Linked DNA regions of Canis lupus familiaris. The protein of the gene in region 2 interacts with the protein of the main gene of each other region in a biochemical or structural test. Links are inferred from orthologs where the notes say so. Each region holds a gene or a part of one and is shown on either strand. Other genes may lie near its edges. The genes, in order: GTF2F1 and CDK9.

Evidence for each region.
Region 1: the proteins of CDK9 (region 2) and GTF2F1 form a complex in vitro, tested with the Homo sapiens proteins (2 studies listed by BioGRID, with this or other methods). The link is inferred for Canis lupus familiaris from reciprocal best matches to the Homo sapiens genes CDK9 and GTF2F1.

The regions. Positions count from the first base shown.
Region 1 is NC_049241.1:54,168,462-54,172,791, reverse strand, and holds the start of GTF2F1 (general transcription factor IIF subunit 1), read right to left. Parts: upstream 3,077-4,330; 5' UTR 2,614-3,076; coding exon 2,602-2,613; intron 2,516-2,601; coding exon 2,469-2,515; intron 1,948-2,468; coding exon 1,875-1,947; intron 1-1,874. Other genes in the region: adenylate kinase isoenzyme 1-like, read left to right, coding at 3,261-3,354. UniProt on the Homo sapiens protein: TFIIF is a general transcription initiation factor that binds to RNA polymerase II and helps to recruit it to the initiation complex in collaboration with TFIIB. It promotes transcription elongation.
Region 2 is NC_049230.1:55,704,451-55,708,797, reverse strand, and holds the start of CDK9 (cyclin-dependent kinase 9), read left to right. Parts: upstream 1-1,541; 5' UTR 1,542-1,609; coding exon 1,610-1,701; intron 1,702-2,160; coding exon 2,161-2,242; intron 2,243-3,043; coding exon 3,044-3,134; intron 3,135-3,480; coding exon 3,481-3,647; intron 3,648-3,769; coding exon 3,770-3,941; intron 3,942-4,098; coding exon 4,099-4,247; intron 4,248-4,347. UniProt on the Homo sapiens protein: Protein kinase involved in the regulation of transcription.

The DNA.
Region 1 (4,330 bases), on a different chromosome or scaffold from region 2:
TCAAGTTACTAGTGGCTGGGAGGTCACACATCTCAAAAGGTGATAACTACTCAGGTGCTGCATGTCAAGGTGATGGGTGACGAGGGGCAGGTTCCTCTGGTTTCTTGTGGATGAGGGAAAAGGGGCTCTCCCACTCAATGAGGGATGGCGGTAGTATGTTAGTATGTTCCCAAGGTATTTACCAAGTTATTCCTCTTAGTGAGGGGTGTTTAAAGCTGGGACCCCCTGATGTGTGGGTATCTCCCTCTTGGATGATCAGTGATAAAGAATGCCCCACCCCACCCCCACCCCCAGAGTGATCAGGGATTTGGAAACACTCCACCTTCTCTGGGTAATTTAGGTGAGACCAGAGGTTGGGGGAGCATGTTAGTTTGTATATGAATGTGCATACGGCTGGAGATGCTGGGGGGCAGGCAGCCTACAAGGGAAGAGGGTGCCCTGAGCAAGCATCCACCTGCCCAATATCCAGAGGGACTAACGTCTCTTTCAAATAGCCTCACTTGCTCAACTAGATGAAGGGATGTTTAAAAACAGTCAAAAGACAGACCGGTGCTGAAAACAGGATGAGCAGCAGGAGCTGCCTGAAGCTGCCAACTTTAGACCTGGGCCAACTCCTGTGCTGGGCTGGTCCAGTCTCTGTGGCTTCAAATGCTGCCCCCAATGCCCAGATGCTCCCTCCCAGTCTCCCAACTCAGATGCTCCACTGCTTATTTACTGTCTCCTCCTGGGTGTCTGATATAAGATGTTGAGAACTGAACTCCCAATACTCTGTCCATCCGGCCCTGTCACCCGTCAACATCCAATCATTAACAAATCATGTTGGCTCCACTTTAAAACACACTAGAATCCACTGACTTCTCACAACCGCTGTTTGCTCCATGCCCAGTCGTCACTCACCTGGACCACCGCCGACGCCTCCACCCTGCAACACCCTTTGTCTGCCCCTGATCCTATAGCACCCAGATCAGTTTATAACTCCCCTGTTTAGAACCCTTTAAAGGTTTCTGCTATAGACTGAATGTTTGTGTTTTTTTTTTTTTTTTTTTTTTTTTTTTTTTTTTTAAATTTTTTTTTTATTTATTTATGATAGGCACACAGTGAGAGAGAGAGAGGCAGAGACACAGGCAGAGGGAGAAGCAGGCTCCATGCACCGGGAGCCCGATGTGGGATTCGATCCCGGGTCTCCAGGATCGCGCCCTGGGCCAAAGGCAGGCGCCAAACCGCTGCGCCACCCAGGGATCCCTGAATGTTTGTGTTTTATCCCAAAATGCATATGATGAAACCTAACTCCCGGTGTGATGGTATGGGGAGGTGGGGCCTTGAGAAGGGGATTAGGTCCGAAGGGTGGAGTCCTGGTGAATGAGATGAGTGCCCTCTTAAGAGCTCTCTCACCCCCTCTGCCACGTGAGGACACAGTAAAAAGACAGACATCTACGAACCAGGAGGCAGGCCTTCACCAGACCAAACATCTGCTGGCGCCTTGCTCTCAGACCTCCTAGCCTTCAGAACCGTGAGAAATAAATATGTGTTGTTTAAAAGCCACCCGGTCTGCGGTATTCTGCTGTAGCAGCACCCATGGACAGAGCTTCCAAAAACCATCTGCAGGCTGCAGCCCCCTCGGCCTTGCCCAGATGACTCTAGGCTGGAAATGCCCGTCAGGGGGCACAACTTCTAAATGCCATCCTTTCATGAGGCCTCCTGTGGGGCCTGCCCAATCTTCCTCACAGGGATCCCTAGCAGCTCAGCCTGGGCCTCAGTACATCGTCTTATCCCCACTCGGGGAGCGGGGTCGAAGCCAAGCCTTAGTTTTACCACTGTAACTAAGCGCCTATTGCAGGATCAGGTTCTTACGCTCACTCCCAACGGGGACTTACCTGATTCCAGGTAGCAAAGTTGACTTTGTCAGCAGCATTGAAGGCCATGATGTTGTATTTTTTCGTTGTGTTTCTGGGGTGGGCAAAAAGAGGGCTGCTCTCAGTTCACCGTTCATTTAACAAACCCTCCCTTGGCTCAGCAACGCTGGGGACCCACAGAAGCCCTCAGGGGTTCCCGGTCTCTCCCGACCCCTCTGCTGAAGAAGAGCAGGAGGGGAGGCATAAAGGTCGGGGGACGGGGGGTGCCCAAGGTGTGGGAATAATGGAGACCTCTGTCCTGGGGGCGGGGGCGGGGGAGGGCAGGCAGGGCATGTTTCCCAGAGGAGGAAGATCGTGGGGCTGGGTTTTATAGGACCGACAGGAGTCACAACGCCAGGGAAAAGGCCTTCCTGCCGAGAGAAGGCTAGGCCAGGGGGCTGCATCCGACGTACCGCCCACTAATGGGCTCATTCATTCATTCCGTTGCAAACACGGGATGCACCTCGCTCAACCCCAGCCCTGGGCCCAGGTCCCTGCTCCTCGGGAGGCGGCATCACCGGCGGCGCCAGGCTGGCCTGGGAGCTCAGGAAGCGGGGAGAGGGCTGCGGGACTTACTTGGGAACTCGGACGACATACTCGGTGACGTTCTGGCTGCTGGGGCCCTGCGGGCAGAGAAGGAGGGGCGGTGGGTGAGTGGGGGGCTGCAGAGGCGGCGCGCCGCGACCCCCGAGCTCCCCCGTGTACTCACGAGGGCCGCCATGGTGACGGTCGGGGGTTCGGGTCCGCTGCGGCCCGCGCCCCTCAGTCCCGGGGAAGCCGCCCGCGCGCCGTCGGGTCTCTGGCCCGGATCGAGGGGGCCGCTACCCAGAAGTCGGTCTTCTCGGGGAACCGCTCCGGCCGCGTCTGCGCCTGCGCCTAACCTGGACGTGACACTCGGGCCGCGGCGCGACGGCAACCTCCTCCGCGTCACCTAGCTCCCCGAGTCCCGCGGAGCGGACGGCCCAGACCGACCCCGACGCGGAAGACACCCCGGCTGCGGCGGAAGCCGCGTCGCGCCTCTCTATAAAGCGCGACTGATTTAATCAGCCTGTGGCCACGCCTCCTCGTGACATCACATCCGGGGGCCGCGGGGCGTCCTGGGAGAGGAGGGAGGAACCTAGCCTCCCTCGCGAGCTCTCGGGCGCCTCGCGCATGCGCCACTGCACTCCGGAAGTGAGTCGGAGGAGGCCGCGTCACCATAGCGACCGGGGCCTCTTAGTCCGCGCCGAGCTGTTGGGGCGCCGCCAGCTGCGCCCCTTTGGGTTCATTTCCTCCTTCTGCCCCGGGGAGACCTCATCGTCTCGCCAAGTGATCGGGCCCTTGTGACGTAGAGCCGAGCCAGGAGGAGGAGTCAGGGCCCGGGTGGGGATGGGGCGCGACCACCCCAGGGCCGCTGGTGGGATGGGTCTGTGCAAGTCCAAGCTGCCCGAGGTGGGCAGGCCCCTGCGACCCCAGGAGAAGGGTAACGTCGCAGGGGCGGCTGGCTCACGGGGCGGGGGGGAGGAAGGAGGCCGTGAAGGGCACGAGGGAGGTGCAGGTACCCCACACCCCAGGCCGGTGTGCACACGCCCCGCCCCCCACCCACCGAGCTGCACGTGCTCGAGGATCAGCCGCGCTTTGATCCGCTTGGGCACCTGCTGCGCGGGGTTCTGGGCACTCCACGGCGAGTATGTCACACTAGCTGTCCGGCCTCCAGGAGATGACAGTGTAGACAGGGAAGGAGACAGTCTCAGAAAAATGGGATCGGCGAGCAGGAGGGAGCAGGGCTGCCACGGGGAGAGAGGAGCCGGCTCTGCGGCCCCCAGGAGAGGGGAGGTTTAAAGTTTACGTTGGGCCCTGTGGGATGCCTGGGAATTCACTAAGCCAAGCGGGAGGGAAGCAAGACACGGAAATTGCATTATCGACTACTGCGCTGCCTTAGAGACGCCTGGTAGCCACGCACCTTCGTTTGCTCATCACCCGCTACCGCACGTCAGGGACCGTGGCAACTGGTAGAAACCCGGGGACCAGCAAGACAGAACTGGTCCTTGCCCTCCCGGAGCACAGAGTGTGGCTGGGGAGACGGACAAGAACAAGGAAACAGGCAAAATCCTAGCTGACCGTGGCTGCTGCAGTGGAGGAAATGTGGCCCTGGGACGGGATGATGCGGGGGGAGGTCGGGAGGGGAAGCCTGATGGGCGGGCGGGTGGGCTGTGTCCTGAAGGCGGCGGAGCAGGGACTTGGCGTGCAGGGGGAGCAGCGGGAGAGGGATGAGTTTGGCAAGTTCAAGGGACAGAAGAGGCCAGGGGGGCTGGACCAGAGGGAAGGAGGAGGAGGGCGTTGTGGGATGGCCCAGAGGGGGCGCAAGTCTGAGCCTGTTTCCTCAGCTGTCAAACGGGACAATCGAGTCATTGAGGTTTTCAAGGAGATGCTGTGTGCAGAGGGCATGGCCTGCTCGC
Region 2 (4,347 bases):
TTCAGAATCAGACAGACCAGGGATCCCTGGGTGGCGCAGCGGTTTGGCGCCTGCCTTTGGCCCAGGGCGCGATCCTGGAGACGCGGGATCGAATCCCACGTCAGGCTCCCGGTGCATGGAGCCTGCTTCTCCCTCTGCCTATGTCTCTGCCTCTCTCTCTCTCTCTCTGTGACTATCATAAATAAATAAAATCTTTAAAAAAAAAAAAAAAAAAAAGAATCAGACAGACCAGGTTCCAGTCACAGCGCTGTCACTCTGTGACCTTGGGCAAATGACCTCACCACTCTGAACCTCAATGCCCTCTTCTGTAAAATGGGCTAGTTAACCTGCCCATGGGGCGCCTGATTGAGGATTCAGCAGGATTCAGCAGGAATGCCCAGCGATTCCTGAACACACAGGAGTTCTGAGCAAATGCTAGCCATTTTTGTGATTACTGACCCGGGACTGACCCGCTCGGACGCAGCTGGGTGGGCATAGGGCTCCCGCGGGTCTCATCCCTTCCTCCCAGAAAATTGGGGGTCCAGGGCAGGAAGGCCCGGGCGTTGCTCGCTCGCCGTCTCCAGTGTCGCCGCGCCCCCTAGCGGCCGTCGGTTGCCATGTCAACGGCGGGCGGCTGGGGCCTGGGGAGGCGGCGGCGGGGGCCGTTCTCTCCTCCCAGGACCGGAGGCCGCTCCCTCGGCGCCTCCCGCCTTTCCCAGCGGAGGGGCACTCCGAGCCGGGGAGAGGGCTCTCCGCGGCAGCTAGCATGGGGGGGTAAACTGAGGCACGCGACAAAGCGCTCCGCAGCCAGGTGTCGAGCTCGGGGCCCCACCTCCGAAGGCGGAGGAGGGGCCGCGGGCGGTGACGCGCCGAGGGCGGCCGGCGGACAGCGGGCGGCGGCGGCGGCGGCGGCGGCGGCGGCGGCGGCGGCGGCGGCAGGTGCGGCCGCGGAGGGTGGGAGGGAGGAGGGAGGGGGGCGGGCGGAGGGGGAGGGGAGGGCGAGGCCAGGGCACCTCCCCCTTTATAACGCGCCCCCTCCCGGGCTCTCGGGCCACCTCCTCGTCGGCTCTTCCCATCTCGCCCCCTTGCCCGGCCGCCCCGGGCCCGGGCCCGGCCAGGGAGACCCCAGGCCGCGGCTCGGGGGCCACCCCCCCGCTCGCCGCCCCGCGCAGCCCGGCGGAGGCGGCGCCGTCGGAGGAGGAGGAGCAGGGCACTGCGGCTGGCCCCGGATCGGGCGCCAGAGCGGCAGCGGCTCCGGCAGCAGCGGCGGCCCGGGCCGATGCAGCGGGACGCACCGCCCCGAGCCCCAGCCCCGGCGCCCCGGCTCCCCGCGCCCCCGATCGGGGCAGCCGCCAACAGTGGCGGCGGCGGAGGCGGGGGCAGCGGCGGCGGCGGAGGCGCCTCTGCAGCTCCGGCTGCTCCTGGCCTCCCGGGAACTACAAGTCCCAGGGGGCCTGGCGGCGGGCGGCGGACGGAAGAGGCGGGGTCGGCGCCGCGAGGCCGGAAGTGGCCGTGGAGGCGGAAGTGGCGCGGCCGCGGAGGGGCCTGGAGCACGGCGGCGGGACCCGGAGCGGGAGCAGCGGCGGCGGCGGCGGCTGGGGGCGGCGGCGGCGGCGCGCTGGAGGCGGCCATGGCAAAGCAGTACGACTCGGTGGAGTGTCCCTTTTGTGATGAGGTGTCCAAATATGAGAAGCTCGCTAAGATCGGCCAAGGCACCTTCGGGTAAGGCTGCGCCCCCGGGGGACCAGGCGCTCTGGGCCTGCACCGCTCAAATCCGACGTCACGATGCCCAGGGCCGGGCCCGAGGTGGTCGGGAAGGCCATGAGCGCCAGACGTGTCCCCTGGTTTTGCTAGGCCGCGCTGCGGCCCGCCTGGGCCTGACCGAGCCGGCTGGCGGGGAGGAGCCTGAGGCCTGTGATGGGGGGCGGGGAGGGGTTACGGAGAGGAGCCAGTGGTGGGAGCGGGCTCTCCGAGAGACGCCTGAGTGAGGAGACTGAGGGGAGGAAGTAGAGGCTCGAAGCTCCGCAGATAGCGGGTGGCAAGGTAGGGCAGTGCCCTGGGTCCCCGGCCCAGCCCCGCCCGGGGAATCCCTTTTTTCTGCCCCCCTCCTCTGGTGGGGGAGGGGCGGGCCCTGCAGAAACGGCCTGATAAAACCTCTTGGGTCTCCCTCTCGGCCTGCAGGGAGGTATTTAAGGCAAAGCACCGTAAGACCGGCAAAAAGGTGGCTCTGAAGAAAGTGCTGATGGAGAACGAGAAGGAGGGGGTGAGTATGGGCCGGGTGGGCGGGCCTGCCAGCTCCCCTGGGCTCGGGGTTGGGTTTCCACCCTGCTTCTGCTAGGGCTCTCGTCTGGAGAACCTGTGTGTCTGTGTGTTGGGGGGGGGGGGGTAGTTAGGCAATTTCCGTATTCGGGGAATTTGGCTTCCAAATTGAATTTTTTAATTCAAATGTTTTAGAGCTTTTGATATCCCACTCTTAGGTAAATACGGTTGGGGCCAGGAGGGGGAGCTCATGCCTGCAGAGTGTGCCTTAGTTCCTGAAGTTAGGAAGCCTTTAAACACGGTTTCCTTAGCATTCATTTTGCATAAGGCGGAAAGAAATTCCACTTGGTGGTTTTAAGGGAGTGGCTGGTACTCAGTTGAAAAGGAGCAGTCCCCTCCCTTGCCTCATTGTAGCCCTAGTCCAGCTTCCCAGAGACCTGCTTAGCAAGGACATTTCCTTAAATAGCTGTTTGTTTCCACCTAGTAAGTTAAATACAGGTATAGAGCTAAAACTTAAATATTGAAGAAACTGTGGAACATTTATTTAGTGACGAGTAGTGAAGTGTGTAGGTATTAAGTCCCACTGTTTCAGTTCATTGTCTCAGAGCAACTCATTGAGGGGCACATACTATTTTTACACCCATTTTACAGCTAAGACATCTGAAATGATGTCAGAGCCCGGGACCTTACTCGTTTGCTGCACCTGTGCCCCTTGATCTGGACCACACGGTTGTTCATTGGTCTGTTCATTGGTCTATAGTTGACTCGCTCACCTCAGGCCCCCTCTTGCCTTTCTCCTACCCAGTTCCCCATTACGGCTTTGCGGGAAATCAAGATCCTCCAGCTTCTGAAACACGAGAATGTGGTCAACTTAATTGAGATCTGTCGAACCAAAGGTAGGTTCTTTGGCTCCTGCCCCCCTTTACAGATGGGGAAAATGAGGCTTACTGCCTAAGGCTTTGCAAAGTTGGAAGTGGACACACCTAAATTGCCTCTTCTTAACCCAGACAAACCGACTGTGACTGCTCTTGGGTCCTTCCATCGTAGCTGTTGCTCCTCGAGGGCCTGCCACAGCACCCAGCCCAGAGGAGGCACTCAGGAAATAGTTTTCCAGTGAAGGAAGGCACAGCCGAATATCCCAGTGTCCACGGGCTGGAGGGGTAGAAGCTGTGTGGGGAAATGAGTTGCACGTGGGGTTTTTTACTTTCTTTTTCTTACTCCTCCCCCATTCTTCCCTCCCAGCTTCCCCCTATAACCGCTGCAAAGGCAGTATATACCTAGTGTTTGACTTCTGCGAGCACGATCTTGCTGGGCTGCTGAGCAATGTCTTGGTCAAGTTCACACTGTCTGAGATCAAGAAGGTCATGCAGATGTTGCTCAACGGCCTCTACTATATCCACAGAAACAAGGTGGGGGTCAGCATGGGGTAAGAGAGACCCGGGCTGGGGTGGGCCTCGGCTCCCACCGCTGGGTGGGTGCGACTGAGGGTTCCCCTTGGAAACCTGATTGAGCCCTCTTGCGCTTCCTGCAGATCCTGCACAGGGACATGAAGGCAGCTAATGTGCTCATCACTCGCGATGGGGTTCTGAAGCTGGCCGACTTTGGGCTGGCCCGGGCCTTCAGCCTGGCCAAGAACAGCCAGCCCAATCGCTATACCAACCGTGTGGTGACGCTCTGGTACCGGCCTCCGGAGCTGTTGCTCGGTGAGGACTCCCGAGCGGGCGGAGTGGGGCAGGGGCTGGGCACTTACCCGGCCTCAGTCCCCCACTGCCAGGGCTTCTTGAGCCGCCGGCCCTGGGGCATTGCGTCTCAGGAGGCCCTCGGGCTCAAGGGGCCCTCCTGGTGCGCTCTTCTTCCCAGGGGAGCGGGACTACGGCCCCCCCATTGACCTGTGGGGTGCTGGGTGCATCATGGCCGAGATGTGGACCCGCAGCCCTATCATGCAGGGCAACACCGAGCAACACCAGCTTGCCCTCATCAGCCAGCTCTGTGGCTCCATCACCCCTGAGGTGCGTGGCCAGGCTGCCTGGGCCCCTGGTCCCCACAGGACGCAGAGATCCAGAAGTCCTCCTGGCAAGGGAGGAGTGGGGAGTGAAATAGCAGGAAAGT